Callithrix jacchus: one gene and its partners. The protein of the gene in region 3 purifies or fractionates together with the protein of the main gene of each other region. This does not show direct contact. Links are inferred from orthologs where the notes say so. Each region holds a gene or a part of one and is shown on either strand. Other genes may lie near its edges. The genes, in order: CNOT1, EYA3 and FHL2.

What was found.
Region 1: the proteins of FHL2 (region 3) and CNOT1 purify together in Homo sapiens (affinity purification with mass spectrometry; 3 studies listed by BioGRID and IntAct, with this or other methods). This does not show direct contact. The link is inferred for Callithrix jacchus from reciprocal best matches to the Homo sapiens genes FHL2 and CNOT1.
Region 2: the proteins of FHL2 (region 3) and EYA3 purify together in Homo sapiens (affinity purification with mass spectrometry; 3 studies listed by BioGRID and IntAct, with this or other methods). This does not show direct contact. The link is inferred for Callithrix jacchus from reciprocal best matches to the Homo sapiens genes FHL2 and EYA3.

What each region holds. Positions count from the first base shown.
Region 1 is NC_133521.1:16,396,906-16,400,559, forward strand, and holds part of CNOT1 (CCR4-NOT transcription complex subunit 1), read right to left. Parts: intron 3,494-3,654; coding exon 3,351-3,493; intron 2,825-3,350; coding exon 2,716-2,824; intron 2,619-2,715; coding exon 2,449-2,618; intron 1,522-2,448; coding exon 1,269-1,521; intron 1-1,268.
Region 2 is NC_133508.1:64,652,852-64,656,184, reverse strand, and holds the end of EYA3 (protein phosphatase EYA3), read left to right. Parts: intron 1-1,913; coding exon 1,914-2,014; intron 2,015-2,694; coding exon 2,695-2,802; 3' UTR 2,803-2,808; downstream 2,809-3,333. UniProt on the Homo sapiens protein: Tyrosine phosphatase that specifically dephosphorylates 'Tyr-142' of histone H2AX (H2AXY142ph). 'Tyr-142' phosphorylation of histone H2AX plays a central role in DNA repair and acts as a mark that distinguishes between apoptotic and repair responses to genotoxic stress.
Region 3 is NC_133515.1:15,441,908-15,445,561, reverse strand, and holds part of FHL2 (four and a half LIM domains protein 2), read left to right. Parts: intron 1-609; coding exon 610-779; intron 780-3,654. UniProt on the Homo sapiens protein: May function as a molecular transmitter linking various signaling pathways to transcriptional regulation. Negatively regulates the transcriptional repressor E4F1 and may function in cell growth.

The DNA of each region.
Region 1 (3,654 bases), on a different chromosome or scaffold from region 3:
ACAGAGAGGGAGGAATAAGGACAGAGTGATGTGATCAAGAAGGAAAGAATTTTCAAAAGGATACGAAGCAGAAAAGTGTAATATACTATCTTTTTGAAGAGAAAGAAGAAATGAAAGCAAACAAGCCAACAGGAAGGGCAGAGACAGGTGCCACATCCATACCCATGAAATAGCAATGGTCACAAAGACCAACGGATTCCAATTTCTTCCTTTCAAATTATAAATCAGACTATAAACATGCAGTAACAGCTTTTCAGTAGGGTATGTTTTGTAATTCCCTGGATTCTTTCAGGGGAGAAATACACTCAGTACAATTTACTGAGTAACATTCATTTTGAACAGTAAATCCAATTTCAAGTAAATTTTTAGAATTCAAGTCAGCCCTTCCACATTCAATTGTCATTAATTTGAAAAGAGACCTAATTTGTCACCTTTCTTTAGCAATATACCTAAATTTTGGGTTCAGTTTGAAGAAATATAATGGTCAATCCGCAGAAATAAGTAGACAACTCACCCTGAAAAAAAATTGCAGCATTCTAATAAAGGAAATTCCAACGTCAATTCAGTTAAAGTACCACTCTTGCCAAGTTATAATTGGGACACATGGACTTATTGGGTCTGATTCCCTCACAGTCGCTGAAAGGAGCCAGTGACAATCAAAAACAGAATGCTAAATGGTACTATGGCTCCCTTTTCCTGTTCATCCTATTCACAAACATTACTGCCAAACCTGATTTTCAGCTAGGAGCTTTATTCTTAAGACTTTAACTCAAAGTCCAATTTGCATTAAATCTAATGAAAAGAAATACTGGAAATTATTGTCCAAAAAAAAAATGTCACTACGTTTAAATAGATATTTAAACTAGAAAATACCTTAAAACACTCGACCATTTCAATAGTTAAGCATTTTGTTTTACTATATCTTTTTTTTTTAATGTGGGCTACTGTGAGAATTTTACATATTTATTAGCCCACAGTCCCATCAGTGCTAGTAAAATTACATTTGGTAGTTTCATTATTCATTATCTGACCCATTGTACTTTGTAGCTGTGACAACTGAAATGGAATATACAGAACCAATAATGGGCAGGAAACGTTGACTTTACTGCTTAGTGATCAACCATGAGAAAACAGACTATAAATTTAACCACATAATGATGACATTTTGTATTTGCATGAGTATGGAAGTAACTGTCTGACAACAGGGATGTAATACTGAGCTTTAATACTGGAGGCATCACACCCTACTTATGTTGAATAAAAAGCACCTTTCTTTCCAAAAGCTCTACCTGTCCAACAAACGCAGAGAAAGCTTTGGTACTGTCGCGGCCAGCTGCTGCTGAATGGTAGAGATTCACCCATTCCCTCAGAAGATACTCTGCCTTCTCCCTCAGGCCCGGAGGGTCATCGTACTCTGAGGCTTGAGAGATCCCAGAATGCATCATAAAGTTTGGGCCTCCATGAGCACGATCAATCATTGCTTCATAGTTGGATCGCACTACTTCCATCAGCTGGGGCAACCTAATACAATGAATCCATGGTGAAAATCAGTCTACTCGTAGTTGTGATTTTACAGACACAGATGGATAATTTACTTATTTAACAGCAACCAAAAGAGTGGTTTACCACTTCACTTTACCACTTCCAAACTGAAGCAAAACTATCCTTCGTCTCTTCTTATCTGCTTATGAGTACATAACATGCAAATGGCTGCCCTCAGTTTAGCTACTTCTTACCCAAAATATATGTTCATTGAAATGTAGCTGATGTTCAGAGTTAATAAATATTCACTGCTTGTCTAGTATGTACCATACTTTCTTTATATTACTTCTCTTGATTTTCAATCATTCTTTGAGAAATTATTTCCTTTTTATATAAGGAACAGATTGCTAGAGCACGGTGGTTCACGTCTGTAATCCCAGCACTCTGGGAAGCCAAGGCGGGTGGATCACGAGTCAAGAGATCAAGACCATCCTGGCCAAGATGGTGAAACCCTGTCTCTTTAGAAAAACTAGCTGGGCATGGTGGCACATGACTGTAGTCTCAGCTACTCAGGAAGCTGAGGCAGGAGAATCACCTGAACCCAGGAAACAGGTTGCAGGGAGCCGAGATTGTACCACTGCACTCCAGCCTGGTGACAAAGTGAGACTGTCCCAAAAAAGAAAAAAAGTTTAAGGGGGGTTAGTCAATTTGCCTAAAATCAGAAAGCTTTTAAGTGGCATGACCAAGGCTTAAACACAGGACTCTGACACTAAGTCTGGTACCATATGTACTGCTCTATGCCAAAAAGGCTTGGCAGTAAATTAAGCTTTTGCCCTTACCAAAGTTACTCACCCACAGCTTGTTGGTAAAGCAGTTATAACAAGTAATGTTAGTAAGTCTGCACATTCATTCCTAAAGATACTAGACTACTAAATGCACGGGGATCTCAAAGCATTTCATCCTCACCCTTCTGGAGCATTGCCTCTGGAATGAGCATTAATCCTCATGAGGGTCTCAATGGTGTGGAACAGATCTGCCTCGGTAACATGGGCAACACTCCTTTCATCCACCAGCAGGATTTTCACCAATTGCATAGCAAATGCCACAGCCATGTAGTTTAAACCATTCTCCATTGACTGGCAACACAGAAAACACAGTTTGAGAGGGAAAACACTTAAGAACAAACATAATTCCCAGAGTCCTTTTGTCTTTGCAAGTAAATTCCTTCCATACCTGCGCTAAATGAAGATCATACTGTTGCATATTAACCAAATGATTGCGAATTAGCAGCTCCACAGCCTCCACATTATATTTATATTCATCCCGACATTCAATTAGGCACCTAGAAAAGGTTCAAATGTCTTTAGTCATCTAATCTTTATACAGTATGGCTATACTGTATAAAATAAAGTACTCATTTTACTCAATGGAAATTTGCTCCAAATTAAGAATGCCTTGAGATTCAACTGCAAATCAGTGTCCAAATTTAAAAACAGCCAGTAATGAACAGAACAGATAGCCCAGGCTTTGCTTTCAAATCCTAGGAAACAGAGGATTCCATTTAAGACATTAAAATACTTATACATGAATACCACGTCTGAGAAATCACTGAAACCTTTTAAAACAATGACCTACAATTTATTCCCCAAAACAAGGTACTGGTTTTTTCTATATCCAACATGAGGAGAAGGTAGAGACCTGATGGAAAATAACTACTTAACAATTCTCACCTCTCAGAAGTAGAAAGTTCAAGTGTCCCTCCCATCTACCTACTAGAAAAAAGGGAAACCCCTGGACATATCTATGTTATCTATGTCGAAAGGCAATCGAAGTCCAACACTCACGACTTTTCCAAGATGACTACTGACCTTGTGATCTGTTTGTTGCACCATGGAGACCCATATGCTCGGCCATCCTGCAGAGCTTTTAGTACCAAGAGGTGGCATTCCCTGTAGCGCAGCAGAAGGTCAGCATCAGCACCACTTGTGGCATCTAGTAAGCCCTCTACAGCCTATGTGAGAAAGAAAGTGTTCAAAACCATGGCAAATACAGTGCTCAGCCCCAACTATCAAGGCCAGAAATCAAATCTCAATGCCCATTACCAAATACCTTCCAAAGCCTCAAGACTGTCCCTTCCACTTTCCAAACATCCTTTTCAGTTGCCTATCACAC
Region 2 (3,333 bases), on a different chromosome or scaffold from region 3:
AAAGATTTGGGCTGATCTTACAGTTCACCAACTTCCATTAGTCATTGGCCTCATCCTCCTGAACAGGAAAGCTCATATACAGAATTGTTTTGAGAGTATAAATGGAAGTATTTTACCAACTGTGTTGGAATGAGTCCTGTTTTCATGCAGCTGCTTCTTTACTTTGAGCTGTTAATAACTCTCTTGGTCTCTTAATCCTTTTAAAGGAGACATTACAGAGTATATTTCATCCTTGATCATTGCATGCCAGGACAATGAAATTGTCTGTGTTCTTATCCTCTAAATATGAGTTACTACCTTTGTTGAGTCTTACAAGAAAGTCAAATCTGACTCAAAAAGAGTTGTTTGCTACAGACAGATCATAGTAGGCCGTGCATCTGGTGGAGGTTGGCTTAGTTTGTAAAGCTGCAATGGTTGAAATGAAATTAGACAAAGAACTCTTTCATACCTTGAACATAGTAAGAGTTTATTATTAGTTGAACTGTTTAATGTTTGAACTGAATTGAGGCATAAGACCTGGACTGCAGTCCTCCACTGAATCATTTGTGAGATGAATATGACTTTACTCAGCAAACATTGATTGAAGTCTTATATGAATGTAAGGCATGACAAGTCTATTCAAAATGTTAGCACTAAAGAGACCCAAGTGCACCTAAGTCAAGCCTTATATTATAAGTGGCCAATGGAGCCCAGAGTGGACTAGTGTCTGGTCCAGTTGACTAGTCCATCTGTTTTGAGGTGCTGCTGGAGTAAGGATGTCAGAGATTTGCAGGTACATATCTGCATGACTTCTCCTGTGCCAAGTAGGACTTCTGAGTATGGAAGTATAGGTTCTGGCCAATTATAGTTACCTTAGATTTGCATATTTACATATTGCAATGATTTTCCAGCAGATGGCAGTCAAGTGTCTTGAGGAAGAGGCACTTATATCTTATTCACACAGGGACCCTGGTGCTAAGTCACTCTGTTGGGCAAGAGGAAAGAACAAGAAGGTTAATAGAGCAGGATGAAGAAGAAAGCCAAAGTTAGGATTGTGCTTAACTGAAGGAGATGGCAGAAACAGGGAAATAAAAAGAGCAAGGGATACTTTTATTTATGCAAATAAAGTATCTTTCCCCCAGCAGTACGATCTGTGAATGTTTTCGGTGTTGGTTTCAGGTGGGATTGGAGTTTTAGTACACTGGCACGTTTCTCAAAACTGTCATCTGCAGTTCTGAGAAACAGTTTTAAATCACTTATTTCCCAAGGGCAGTTTCAGTGGTGCAATATCTTGGTTACAACTACAAAGTATAGTAAGTAAGAAAGTTCCAGATATGACAAATGTCGCTGCCGTATTTATTGGCCACTTTTCTCAGTTCTATTCTGGGGCTCTTCCCTCACCAAAGACACAAGACCCACACCCAGAACTGCTTCTGGGAAATGAAGAATTGGAGGGAAATGGCTTTTTGTTTGTTATTGTTTCTAACAAGAAATTAGGGCCTTGTGCTATCACTTCTCTTTCCTTCCCTAAAATCATTCATTTTAAAATCATTTCATTGCCCCTCAAAAATCATTCATTTATTATGGCACAATGACCAGAGCCTAGATTTGGAGTCAGGGGTCCCTAGTTCTAGCTACTCACTTGTTTGTGATCTAGGGGCAAGTCACTAAACCTATGAATCCCTCCCATTTATAGAAATTCCCTCACACTAAGATCTTAGGGACTTCACCTTCAAGGTGAAGGTTAAAATCAATTGTTATTTTAATGACACAACTTCACATTTTTTGGTCTACTGGATCTCTAGCTCCCACCCCTACTCCCCAGCAAGCAAACTACACAGGATGTCACTTAGTCCACCTAAGCACAGGCAGGTGAACCTAGCAGCATTTGAAAAGAAGAGAAGAGTATTCTAACAGGAAATTTTTCTCATCAGGTAAGGAGAGCTGCTTTGAGAGAATTGTGTCAAGATTTGGAAAGAAAGTCACTTATGTAGTGATTGGAGATGGACGAGATGAAGAAATTGCAGCCAAACAGGTAACCACGGTAAAGAAAATGTCTATGTGGTTGTATACCGACTCATTAAAAAAATGGTAAAAACTACAAAATCTTAGCAATCTATTAGCATTTATAGCATTTCCTCCTCTTTCTTCCCTCCTCATTTTTCTTTAAAGAAAAAGAGGGTCTTTTTCTTCTCCAGATGGAGTTTTTCCTCTAAGTTTTTAGATCCTTCCCTTCCTTTTCCTCCCTGCCACTCAAGAATCTTAAAATCATTAAGCCTTTCTATAGGGATCCCATCATTAAACCTGAGATGTGCCCCATCTTCCATCTTCATCTTCAAAGACAGTGCCTTCTCAAGCATCAGACTCGACTGCAAAAAGCCTAATCATTCTTAGGCATGAACTAACCATGCTTCAAGTTCTCAGATAGTGCAATCAATAGAGAGCTGTTTCTATAGAGAAAGTCCTTCCTGCCTTTGAGCCCTGGAAAGATTGTTCTGATGTTAACACCACCACTCTACAGGTCCCAACTTCAGGTCACCCCTTCTTAACACAGGAAACAATAGATGAAAGAGTCTTGGCTGTAGAACCTAAAATCCCATCTGTGTATCAGCTATGTGACTTTGAGCAGTTTACTTACCCTCTTTGAGTACCCTCATGTGCTAAATGGATCTGTAGAAGTTCTTTCCCTCCCTACCCCAATTTATTTTCTTCCAGCAACTCTGTTTCTTAGACATGGAGGCATTGGGTTGCCAGCTAGAACCAACTGCCCTGATACTCTTCATTCAGTTAAGTAGAAACCTTAGCAACTATAATAAACTATGAGATTGGTAATCAGCTGGCATTATTATATCATGTTTTCATTTGCCACTTTATGTAGCAATTCAGGGATCTTTATTTTTTTGCATATAATATCACTGAAGCTTTGATTCTAATGTGCTTCTTATTGCCCTCTTTGGGAAGGACACTAGTGGGTGTAGGCATCAGTGATTCCTGGTCTGAAGAAGGGTATTGGGGAGAGAAAGAACAACTCAAGTCATCAGCAGAGGTGGTAACTCTCGGACTAATGTCTATAATCATGTACGATAGAATATACCCATTGAGGCTGAGCATGGTAGCGCACGCCTATAATCCCAGCACTTGGGGAGACCAAAGCAGGTAGACCACTTGAGGTCAGGAGTTCGAGACCAAACTGGCCAACATGGTGAAACCCCTTCTCTACTAAAAATACAAAAATTAGCCAGGCATGGTGGTAGACGCCTGTAATCCCATCTACTCTGGAGGCTGAGGCACAAGAATTGCTTGAACCCTGGAGGCAGTTGTAGTGAGCCAAGATCACACCACTGCACTCCAGCC
Region 3 (3,654 bases):
CAAAACAAAAAAATGACATGTAGGCTTTAATTATAGCACTTAGACACAGTGCCTAAAACTACCAAGATACATCACAACTTGGTTCAACAGCTAGTATGTAAAGTAAGTGTTGTAGAGGCTGCTCACTGAATCAGGTTCAAGGTCCCAGGTTCATTCACACTCCAGCCATTTCCATCCTGCTGCCAACCAGATGGGGTGTTCGTTAGCAGGTGTGCAGTAGGTGAATACAGTCCCTATACTTCAAAATTCATACTCCATAGAAATTCATCGGAGCTATGCCACACTTCTCATTATATTTTGCATCGCTGAGAGAGGCTTAACTTTTTTTAGATTTAACATTCCTAACCACAATATTCAATAAATAAATGTTAAGTACCTAAAATGTACATGTGTTATTCTAGGAGCTGGGTAGGTGTACAGTAGTGAACCAAAAGACAGCACTGCCCTGTACAAAACGGAATTACCTCCATTCAGAGGGGAGCCTTCAAGACCTGGAATGAGTTGCTCTGGTCACAAAACTAGATGGCAGCAAGCTCTGAAGGTGGATTGCTGGGACTCCATGCCCCTCTAACCATACCTATGCTTTGTTCCTCTTGACCCTGATGACAGGTACCCGCAAGATGGAGTACAAGGGCAACAGCTGGCACGAGACCTGCTTCATCTGTCACCGTTGCCAGCAGCCAATTGGAACCAAGAGTTTCATCCCCAAAGACAATCAGAATTTCTGTGTGCCCTGCTATGAGAAACAACACGCCATGCAGTGCGTTCAGTGCAAAAAGGTATCTCAGATTCCTCATTGGCCCTTGCATGTTCTGGCCAGTTTGCCTCCACAGTCCGTGTCTGTCAGTTCTCTTTCCAAAAACAAGGATACTTGTGATACTTGAATGGCATGAGAGCTGTGCCTGTCCTGCCTTATATTCTGAGCATTTATTTGTTGGGTCTGTGTTCCCATCCTTCTTTCAAAGACATCAACACTGTTGCATTCTGTGAGCAAGTTATTTAACCCTGACTTCTTCTAGACCATTTCTGAATATGTTTTCGTGTTGATGACCTGATGTTAGATGGAAGGGGAGCCACTATCCCAAAGCTGTCTTGTTCACTGCTCTCCATGAATAAAACAGGAAAACAACTGCAAACTTGAGAGGGAGAGAAAGATGAAAGGAAGAGGGAGGAGAGGAAGGGAGGGAGCAGGGAGGAGAGAGGGATGGTGTGAGAAGAAAAGTAAAGGAGAAAAGGTCTGGCCACATGGATATGGGATAGATGATTTATTAAATGCATCTACTCTGGCCATATATTATGGTGGCTCATGCCTGTAATCTCAGAACTGTGGGAGGCCAAGGCTGGTGGATCACCTAAGGTTAGGAGTTCAAAACCAGCCTGGGCAACATAGTGAAACCCCATCTCTACTAAAAATAAAAAGCTTAGACAGGTATGATGGCACACACCTGTAGTCCCAGCTACTTGGGAGGCTGAGGCAGGAGAATTGCTTGAACCCGGGAGGTACGTTGCAGTGAGCTGAGATCGCGCCACTGCACTCACACCTGGGCGAGAGAGTGAGACTTTATCTCAAAAAATAAAAAAAATAAACCTATCTGCTCTATAATGTGTGGTCCCAGCCATGGCTCTGTTTGGGTTAAAGAGGGAAAGAGAACCGCACACCTGTAGGAAGCCGTCTCTCTCCTACCCGCCCTATTGCCCCCACCTGTACCCTTTAGGGTATAGCTTAGTTTTCTGCTGTGCCCGCTGGCTCTTACAGACACGCAACATTGATTATGCTATAGCTTCCAGTGTCTCTGTGCTGCTAGGATTTGTGCCAGCCTGTGGAGTGGCACCCTCCCACTGCTCACTCGCCCTGGGCAGTGCCAGCTCTAGAACTCATTGCAGGCTCTGTTTGCTCTCATCCTTTTATCGGCTCTGCTCACCCAGATTCTACTGTTTTTGCCCTTGGGGCCTTTACCCTTTCCTCTGGGCTACGGAGAAACATCCCCTATATTGCTACCTGGGCGAGAATACGTTCACCTTGCCTGCACCTTTTCTAAGTGCTGAGCGTTCTTAAAAATTTCCATTCAACTTTTCTCTCTTGTTTCCTTCTGTTTGTTTCCATTTGTTCTTTTTTTTTTAAGACAGAATCTCACTCTATCGCCCAGGCTAGAGTGCAGTGGCATGATCTTGGCTCACTGCAACCTCTGCCTCTCTGGTTCAAGCAATTTCTCCCGACTCAGCCTCCCAAGTAGCTGGGATTTCAGGTGCGCGCCACCATACCTAGCTGATTTCTTTGTATTTTTAGTTGAGACAAGGTTTCACCATGTTGGCCAGGTTCGTCTTGGAACTCCTGACCTCAGGTGATTGGCCCACCTTTGCCTCCCAAAGTGCTGGGATTATAGGCGTGAGCCACTGTGCCCAGCCCCGTTTGTTCACTACTGTTATTTTAAATTTTATTTCTCTTTATTTCCTCTTCTCTTATGCTACTGTTTCTTTCTTTTTTTGAGCCAGTTTCACTCCATCACCTGGGCTAGAGTACAATGGCATGATCTCAACTCACTGCAACCTCTGCCTCTCGGGTTCAAGTGATTCTCCTGCCTCAGCCTCCTGAGTAGCTGGGATTACAGGCAGGTGCCACCACCACACCTGGCTAATTTTTGTATTCTTTTTTAGTAGAGACGGGGTCTCACCATGTTGGCCATACTGGTGCACACTCCTGTTTTTTCCTTTATTCTTAGAGTGAGCTCTCATTCCTGCTTTTATTTTAGGAACTCTCTTCCCTGTTCTTCCCTTTATATTTTTATTTTGTTTTATTTTTCTCATCAAGACCTAATGGAAGTTTATTTGAATTGCCCTTATTCTGTCATCTTTCCAACACGTGCTTTACTCATTTGCAGAAATGAAGGCAACACATCCTTTCTGGGATGCATGCCTGTGTGCACATGTTCATTAAATACACATACGAACATTCATGCCAAAAGCATCCATTCCTTGATGTGAACATGGCCCTCTCAGTTTGTCCGATGCTGGACAAAACACAGACACTAACTATAGTCAAGGTGGAAGTACACTCCAATGTCAATTTCATCAGTAGTTACTGAGCAGTGTGCTTTGGAGGAGAAGAGCAGAGTGTGGAATGGAAGAACCTCAACTCATCTGAGGAGTGTGGGGCCAGGGTGGTGTTTAGGGAAGGAGTCTCTGAGAAAGTCATGCTCTGCTGAGAGGCATTGAGTTAGCTGATGTGGGTGGGAAGCATGGAATCCGGAGTGAGGGAGGACTCGGGATGTATGTTGCAGGCAGAGGAGATGTCTTACACACACAGGCTGCTGCACCCACATGGATACGTTGCAACCAAGCGTGTTTTGTGTTCATTCTCTTGTGCAGTGGGGTGAATTACAGGAAGATGCTCTATGATTTATGGTTTAATGAAAGGAATACAAGATAGAAGGGAGTCCAGAATTCTAGCTTCTGCTTTGCCAGCTATGAATTCTTAGGCAAGTCACTTAATTTCTCTGAGTCTCAGTTTACTCATTCATAAAATTCAGATAATATCTTTTTTTTTTTTTTTTTTTTGAGACGGAGTCTTGCTCTGTTGCCAGGCTGGAGTGCAGTGGCACAATCTCTGCTCACTGCACCCTCTTCCTCTGGGGTTCAAGCGATTCTTCTGCCTCA